Linked DNA regions of Ovis aries. The protein of the gene in region 1 purifies or fractionates together with the protein of each later gene. This does not show direct contact. Links are inferred from orthologs where the notes say so. Each region holds a gene or a part of one and is shown in the gene's direction. Other genes may lie near its edges.

Region 1 (4,170 bases):
CACGTGGACACTGGAACCTGAATCCAGGTCCTCTAATCCCACTCATAGGATCTTCCTTCGGTTGCTCACAGAGAAGACGGGGCAGAGGACAGAGACCCGAGAAGGCCTCCGGCAGGCAGGGGCAGAGTCCCAAGAGGAGTGGACAGAGAGCTATGCCTACGTCTGGCAGAGCCCAGGTGGCCAAGTCCCAACAATTTTCATGAGCCCCTAATCTTCCAGCTTCTGGTTCGAAGCCGGCGAGGGGAAATGCCTCCCGCCCCTGGCTCAGTATTCGGGGGCTTTCGGAACCTCCTAGAGATGGTCAGGGGCTTTTGGAAACATCATGGCAGGAATCAAACATCAAATGACTGATATTTCGGAATGGCCACAATTTCTTAAGAAATATTCTGAAACACTGGAGATGAAAATGCTTAAAGAGCAGGCAAAATCTGTCTAGTGACATTCGGGAGTAACCAAAGCATTCGGAACCTCTTGGCTCTGCGGTCTATTCAAGGGTCGTAAGTCTGGAAGATCCTGACTTATTCAGTTCATCTCAGTTCAGTCACTCAGTCAGTCGTGTCTGACTCTTTGCTACCTCATTGACTGCAGCATGCCAGGCCTCCCTGTCCATCACCAACTCTCAGAGTTTACTCAAACTCATGTCCATTGAGTCGCTGATGCCATCCAACCATCTCATCCTCTCTCTTCCCTTTCTTCTCCTGCCTTCAATCTTTCCCAGCATCTGGGTCTTTTCCAATGAGTCAGTTCTTTGTATCAGGTGGCCAAAGTATTAAGAGTTTCAGTTTCAGCATCAATCCTTCCAGTGAATATTCAGGACTGATCTCTCCTTGCAGTCCAAGGGACTCTCAAGAGTCTTCTCCAACACCACAGTTCAAAGGCATCAATTCTTCGGCGCTCAACTTTCCTTACTCTCACTCCCACGACTACTGCAAAGACCGTAGCTTTACTAGACGGACATTTGTTGGCAAAGTAATGTCTCTGCTTTTTAATATGCTGTCTAGGTTGGTCATAACTTTTCTTTCAAGGATCTATCCTGCCTTCGCCTGACTCCAAAAGGCGACTTGTCCACACAGTTCCTCGACTATTTTCGGAAGTATTCGGGGTCGGCACGAGAGAAGGCGCCCTCTGGCGGCGGAAATTATCACCATTTCCACCCCTCCCCAGCCCCTGGGTTGGGCCGGCACGCGCAGACGCAGTTGAGCGCCGGCGGCCGTTCAGACCGGATGTGGTTGCTGCTGAGGTCACTTCCGGCGGGTGACGGTGCGGACGGGTCAGAAGCGTAGAGGCGGCGGCAAAATGGCGGCGCCTGAGGAGCGGGATCTAACCCAGGAGCAGACAGAGAAGCTGCTGCAGTTTCAGGTAGCAGCGAGCACTCGGTGCAGCGAATGTTGCCGCGGGCTAGGGAGTGGGTCCCTAGAGGAGCCCAGAACCCTGCTCAGATTGGGCCCGAGATTCTTCTCAGACCAGCAGAAGGTCCCCCTCCCCCCCAGCCGCCAACTGCCCTGCTAGGTGCCCCCGGCCTCCGAACCTCTGTCCCCGGCCTTCCAGGAATGGCTGCGGCCAGACCTGCTCTCGCTCTCATCAGAGGGTCAGCTCTCCAAGTTCTCCTTTAGCAGTGCCCGTCCTCAGCCATCCTTTCCAGCCAGGTTACCGGTTGGACCCTCTCCGCCCACGACTGTGGATCCGCTGAGATGCTTAATCCCCACCGTGGAGTTGGCCTCGTTTCGGGTCTCTGTTAGAGCCTTTCAGCAACTTCCCATACCATTTCTACAAACATTTATTGATGGCTTTTTAGGTGCCAGGTCGTGTGTTGGGCGCTTTGGTAGGGTGGGGGCAGAAATGGCCCCCACCCTAAAGGTGTGGGAGGACACCTCGTATTGAAACAATGCCGCGTTGTAAATGTCATCTGTGCCTTCTGAAGGGGTTTATTTCCTGGAGCTGATTCTTGGACTCACGCGCTTGGCTCTGCTTGAGGAGGATGGATGGTACACTTGCTGCAGTCTGCCTCGTTTTAGTGGATGTGTAGGTTAAAAACTTTTGACACTAAACACCTTATCCCAGAGCTGGAGAATCCGGTTGGAGGAAACTTAGGTTACCTTGGCTCTGTGTTACCCTAGTGGGTACCAGTTTATTTCTGTGGTACATATCTTAAGTGTTTACCCCCTAAGGACGTTGTGGAGATCACAGTGAGTTTATGGATGTTTAAAAGGGCTTCATAAACAGTAAACTTCTTTCAAACAGTATTGCAACTGTTAATCCTTATTTAACTTAGGGTAGAATTAAAGTTAGTGGTACACTTATTTCCTAATATAAACTGTGCTAAGTATTCATTAATTCCACGGTATTTACCAAGAACTGTAGTGCTCAGGCAATAACACCAGATGGTTAGAACACCATTTATTGAGTGTGGTGTTGTAAGTACTTTGCTAAAACATTTGGCACACTCATGTATTTTATACAAGAATTTAATTGTTTAATACAACAATTGTATTTAATACAATGGCCCTATGAGATTCATAATAGTTACAGTCTCTATAAAGATGAGGGATATGAGGCTTAAGAAGTAACAGGCCTGGTTTACACAACTAGTAGGTTATGGTGTCAGATTTAAAGCCGGGTTCCTTGCATTTCCTCAGCATTTCCTGCGTTCTTGAGGTGATGCTATGCAACACGTGGGAGTAGCAGTATACAGCTGAAAGTGGAATGCCAGTGCACTAATACTTTTTTTTTTCCTTTTTGTAAGTTCTAGCTCTTCTGTGGTTTCCTTGATTTCACTGCAGTTAATTTTGAAGTGTTTTCTCTTAAATCAAGCAGTGGGTTGGAAGCATATAGATTGGAAAATACTGTCATAGAAGTAGTTGACATTTGATTGGAGTTCTGAGTAGAGAAATGGATGACACAGCAGATTAGAATTAGAATGAATAAAGAGCGGACAACTAGCTTCCGCTTCCTGGTAGACCACTAATTTCAGAGTTTTCTTTAACTTTGGCAGATCATTTTATTCCTTACAACTCTTGAGGGATAAGCCCCCATATGGTTTTAAAGTCTAATGAGGTGATGTGAACCATAAGTCGTGAAGTACTAAGTCTGGTCTTGGAAGAACATGAATATGGGGTAGCATTTCTGAGATAAAGTGCATGGGAACCTCTGTTTTTGTCTTCACTGGATATTTCTATCAATAAGAGAGGTGAGTAGCAAGTTAGAATTGTATTAAGATTGCTTTATTTAATAAGGCAAGTACATTTTACATTTGTGTGTTCTCTAAGCAATTGCTTGGATTAGATTCACCATCCGGATTACCATTAACACTCCGAAATTTACTAGGTGTCAAGCATTATACCAGGTATTTGATGTACATCAGCTCTTTTAAACCTTTTCATAACACTGTAAGGTGTTAACCCCGATTCAGTGTATTAACGAAGAAACAGGTTCTGTGAGGCCAGGTAATTTGCTGAAGTAGTAAGTGACAGAGATTTAGAAATCCATACCCATAGCCATCTTGCCTATAAGCTATTGGAGAAACCAGATATATACGTAAATAATGGATATTTTTCAGTATATTATTGCTCATAAGTGTAATAAACATAGTGGTATAAACAAAGGAAATTTAGGGAATAATAGTATTGATGAAGGTGGGAGGGGTAAAGAAGATGGCTTAGTAGTTACCATTAAGTTTCTACTGTGCCTCAGGCATGGTGCTAAACAGTTTATAATGATTATGCTTAATTCTCACAATAGCCTTGTAAAGGTGCCACAGGTGATATGCCTCCTAGGTAAGGAAATGGGTCTTTTGAAGTATTTTCTCCAGATAATTAAGCTATTAAGCAGTGGGGATGGAATTAGAAATCTAGTGGGTCTGGTCTGAACTTAAAGGACTCCTTCCACTCTTCTTTGCCACTTTGAAGAACAAATGAAATGATTGGAGGTGGGCAGAAACATGTTCAGAGCTGAGATATGACTGTGAAATAATGTGGAATGTGTTTGTTGTGATGGATTTGGAGAATTGGAAGTTGAAAATAAGACTGGAAAGGTAAATTAGAGCCAGATTTTGGAACCTTTTCAGAGCAATGTTCAGTGGTTTAAAGCTTAATATGTAGGCATGAGGACCCACCAAAGGTTTTTTCTAACTCTCTAGTGAAATAACACTGGGTTTCAAGTTTGCATCACTAA
Region 2 (4,234 bases), on another chromosome or scaffold:
TCGCCTGCTCAGCATCCATGAAACACTCCATGTGCCTGTTTCCAAGATCCTGGGGACCCTGCTGTTCATTGCCATCCCCATTGCAGCAGGCGTGGTAATCAAGTCCAAGCTCCCCAAGTTCTCGCAGCTGCTGCTGCATGTCATCAAGCCCTTCAGCTTTGTGCTGCTCCTGGGTGGCCTCTTCCTGGCCTACCGCATGGGGGTCTTCATCCTGGCAGGCGTCAGGCTGCCCATCGTGTTGGTGGGCTTCACAGTGCCCCTGGTCGGCCTCCTGGTGGGCTACGGCCTGGCCACATGCCTGAATCTGCCAGTGGCCCAGCGGCGGACTGTCAGCATCGAGGTTGGGGTGCAGAACAGCCTTCTGGCCTTGGCCATGCTGCAGCTGTCCCTCCGCCGCCTCCAGGCTGACTATGCCTCCCAGGCCCCTTTCCTTGTGGCACTTAGTGGCACCTCGGAGATGCTGGCCTTAGTAATTGGCCACTTTATCTATAGCAGCGTGTGCACCGTTCCCTGAGGCCCCCGGGTCAAGCTTTCACCAGGCACCCCCAGCCCCCAACCTCCATCAACTGTCCCCACCATTCTTGTGTACCAAAGGCCTTTAGTTCTCATGCACTATGCACTCAGAAAAAAAAAAAAATCCAGGCTTATTTTTTTTACTCGTTTTTTATTCTCCAGCTTTCAGTGCCAAAGAGGCCATGCTGAGTTCTGTAAGCGGGCACTGCCCAGAAAATATATTTCAATAAAACAGAAGCAAGCTTGGGTATCATGCTGTCTTTGCCCTCTGAGGCCTGCGGGTCGGGGAAGGAAGGGCGTGGTGTGGCCAGGTAGGTGTGGGCCAGGATGGAGGGCTGGCTTGGCGACACAGTGACCTCTGGCCAGATTTAGCCTTCCTCGCCCCTGCATCACCTCTGAGAGCTGTGTATCTGTTCTAGAAGAAGCAGTGGGAAGGGCAGAGGCCTGACTCCCCCACCAGATCCCAAGCTCAGTTGCTTTTCCACAGGTGAAGTAAAAAAGAGGCCGGCGGGTGGTGAAACGAGCTCGGCGGGGCCGGGTCTTCTGCAGGCTCCTGAGAGGCAGGGGATGGGATGGGCATCAGCGTTGACCTGCTCTGCCCACGGGCGGTGGCGCGCGAACTCCCGGCCCGCCGTCTCCCCGGGCCCAGCTCCCCAACTCCTTCGAGCGAGCCCGACTGGTCCCGCCACCCTTTTCCACTCTCCGCGGGCTTCTGGGCTCCGTCGCCCCGGGCTCCGCGGAGGACAGTCCAGGTTGTGGGGGGAGGGGCCGGCGGGGCGGGGCCGCGATGCCCGGCTCGCCCCTCGCGATGCTTCCGGCGGCGGCGGGCGGTTCCGGCGCGCGCCCGGGGCGGCGGCGCGCGGCGGCGGACCGTTGGGGTGCGCGCCGGCCCGAGTGGACGCCTCGGCGGCCGCCATGCAGCTGACGGTGAAGGCACTCCAGGGCCGCGAGTGCAGCCTTCAGGTAGCATCGCCGGGCTGGGTTGCGCGGTCAGCCCCGCGGGTGCGGGATCGAGCCGCGGGAAGGGACGGACCCGGCGGGCTAGCCGCCTCGGGAGAGCCACCCTCCGCGCGGGCCGCGGCTTCACCCCCCGCCCACCTTTCTCGGCCGGGACAGGTGTCGGAGGACGAGCTGGTGTCCACGCTGAAACATCTGGTCTCCGAAAAGCTGAACATCCCCGTCCGCCAACAGCGGCTGCTGTTCAAGGGCAAGGCCCTGGCAGGTAACCAGGAAGAGGGGACGCTGGGGGAGACCCGCGGGAAGCCAGGGGACGGGGCGTCCAGCCCAGGCCCGGGCAGCAGTGTAGGTGGAGGGGGCTCTGGCTAGGTGACCCCCACCCCCATCCCGGGAGTTCACCGCTGCGCTTCGCCTAGGCTCTCCGAGGGTCAGTGCGACCCTCTCTCCCTCTCTCCCTCTCTCCCTCTCTCCCTCTCTCCCTCTCTCCCTCTCTCCCTCTCTCCCTCTCTCCCTCTCTCCCTCTCTCCCTCTCTCCCTCTCTCCCTCTCCCTCTCTCTTTCGGACAGATGGGAAAAGACTCTCCGATTACAGCATCGGGCCGAATTCCAAGCTCAACCTAGTGGTCAAACCTCTGGAGAAGGTGTTGCTGGAAGAAAGCACTGCGCGGAAAACGGCCGAGGCCCCAGCCCCACCGCCCGCCGCCTGGCCGCTCATTTCCAGAATCCTGGCCCAGCACTTCAGCGCCGCCGATGCCAGCAGAGTCCTGGATCAACTCCAGAGGGTGAGAAGCGTGGCCCAGGACCTCTGCATCCTGCCCACCTGCCTCTGTCCCAGCGGGCCCCCCCGCCCCAAGCCACACCCCTGAATCCTTCTGGCTTTCTCTCTTCAGGATTATGAGCGGTCCCTGAGCCGCCTGACGCTGGATGACATTGAACGTTTGGCTGGCCGCTTCCTGCACCCCGAAGCGACTGAAGCTATGGAGAAGGGGTTCTCCAAGTAGGATTCTCGGAGTGTGGGGAGGAGCCTGGCCAGGCCACAAGCTGCATGTAGCATTAAATGTCTTCTTGTATTGCAACTTGGCTCATAATACTGCCTGGCGGGTACTCGGGTACCTGTATCTGGCTCATGTTAGGTGCCAGGCCCCACTCAAAGCTCTTGACCCAGGTTGGCTCCCACATGTTGCACAAAAGGTGAGACAGCCGAGGCTCCTAGCGGAGAAGGCAAGGAGCCAGATTCTGAGTCCAGCCAGCTTCCAGAAGTACTTCAGGGTGAGAAGGAGAAAAGGGTCGTTCAGACGGGTTCTGAGGGGTGGCCATGGACATTCCAGGTTTAGCCCACTGAGGAGAAACCCTCGAGCAATACCTTTTCCAGGCCTGGAAGGGGAAGCAGCTAGCCCCTGATGCCCAGTTCTGTCACCTCATCCTTGACAGGTCCGGCATTGGCAAGAGGTCAGGTGATGGCCAGCCTTGGGCCCCCTTAGTGACTGCAACCAGTATGCACTCAAACGGAAGGCGGGCTGGGGAGTCTAGGATGTCACCCGACTCTGGGGAGTGACACGTAGGTGCCACGTTGGTCCCCAGCCTTCAACTCTGCTCAGTGAGGGCTGTTCTTGAGACTCTCTTAGTTTTCTTTAGCTCCAAAGCCTGGGGTCAGGAGTCTGTAGGCATCCTACTCCTGTGTCCCAGATACAAACTGAGGCCAAATTCTGAGTGATGGCCAAGCGTGGCCCAGAGACGGAATGTCCTGGCCCTTAGTGTCACAGATTTTCTCTGGGCACCCCCTTCTTTTCTCCTCCCAGACACAAGCGGTCCATGACCTTTAGAGATGACAGGTGATGGTCTCGAGGTGACTCGAGCAGGCCCCTGTACCCTTTGCCCATCCTCTGCCACATGTGGACAGGGCCTCCCACTGTGCACACCACTCACTGTCTGAGAGGGAACCTGGGTGGGGGCAGAAGCTGGGGGGTGGGTCGTAGAGATCGTCTAGGCACCTGCTCCTCAGAGGAGGGCACCTGGGCCACTCTCCGGCCTGAGCCTCATAGGGTAAGTGCTGGGTCCCCAGGTGGGGAGGACAGACAGTGGCTCGAGGGCCAAAGGCTTTGAAGAGCAGGTGGAAGTCCATGGCTCCACCCAGGAGCTGGGCATGCACTGCCACAAGGTTCATGTGATAGACTTCCCTACGCTCTCATTTCTTTGTAGTCAGGAAATTTTATATTGACCTTCTCAGTCACACTAGAGGTGCATGTGAGACTTTGACCTGAAAGGAACTCTATTAGTTGAACTGCTTTTGGTTTCCCCATCGTTGATTTAACCATTACAGGACATAGGTTTAAGCAATAAAGAGAAGGTATTGGTTTGCGAAACTGAGAAGTCCAGGGGTATTGGCAGCAGATAAATGATTTCCCCAAATACCCAGTTTCTTCCTACCTCCCCTCTGCACTCTGCAGTGTCTGCTTCATCCCAGGCCTCTACCTCAGGATCAGAAGATGGCTGCCTGCAGCTTCCACCGAACCCCTCGGTCACAGCCAGCACGGAGCACCTTCCCGTCCTCTAGCGTAGCTTCCTCCTCAGCTGCCCCAACAAATAAACGCTGTCCCTTTTGGATGCTTAGAACCGGGTGCCTCCATCATTTTATCAGGGGCTTGGGTGGGCTGTGGAAGGGAGAGGGCAACTCTCAGGAAGGCCGGGTCCTCGGGGAGAGCTGACGCGTGCAGACGGGTCTTGTTGACAGACACAAGAGACAGCTGGTGAGTCTTGTGTGCCTC

What was found. Proteins that work in one complex are often made in the same cells at the same time.
Region 2: the proteins of FAF2 (region 1) and UBL4A purify together in Homo sapiens (affinity purification with mass spectrometry; 3 studies listed by BioGRID and IntAct, with this or other methods). This does not show direct contact. The link is inferred for Ovis aries from reciprocal best matches to the Homo sapiens genes FAF2 and UBL4A.

The regions. Positions count from the first base shown.
Region 1 is NC_056058.1:35,638,422-35,642,591, forward strand, and holds the start of FAF2 (FAS-associated factor 2), read left to right. Parts: upstream 1-1,273; 5' UTR 1,274-1,296; coding exon 1,297-1,359; intron 1,360-4,170. UniProt on the Homo sapiens protein: Plays an important role in endoplasmic reticulum-associated degradation (ERAD) that mediates ubiquitin-dependent degradation of misfolded endoplasmic reticulum proteins.
Region 2 is NC_056080.1:79,953,716-79,957,949, forward strand, and holds UBL4A (ubiquitin-like protein 4A), read left to right. Parts: upstream 1-1,385; 5' UTR 1,386-1,428; coding exon 1,429-1,476; intron 1,477-1,629; coding exon 1,630-1,735; intron 1,736-2,036; coding exon 2,037-2,251; intron 2,252-2,359; coding exon 2,360-2,466; coding exon of another isoform or gene 2,467-2,470; exon of another isoform or gene 2,471-2,900; coding exon 2,901-3,024; 3' UTR 3,025-3,027; exon of another isoform or gene 3,028-3,916; coding exon of another isoform or gene 3,917-4,028; 3' UTR 4,029-4,082; downstream 4,083-4,234. Other genes in the region: SLC10A3 (P3 protein), read left to right, coding at 1-514. UniProt on the Homo sapiens protein: As part of a cytosolic protein quality control complex, the BAG6/BAT3 complex, maintains misfolded and hydrophobic patches-containing proteins in a soluble state and participates in their proper delivery to the endoplasmic reticulum or alternatively can promote their sorting to the proteasome where they undergo degradation.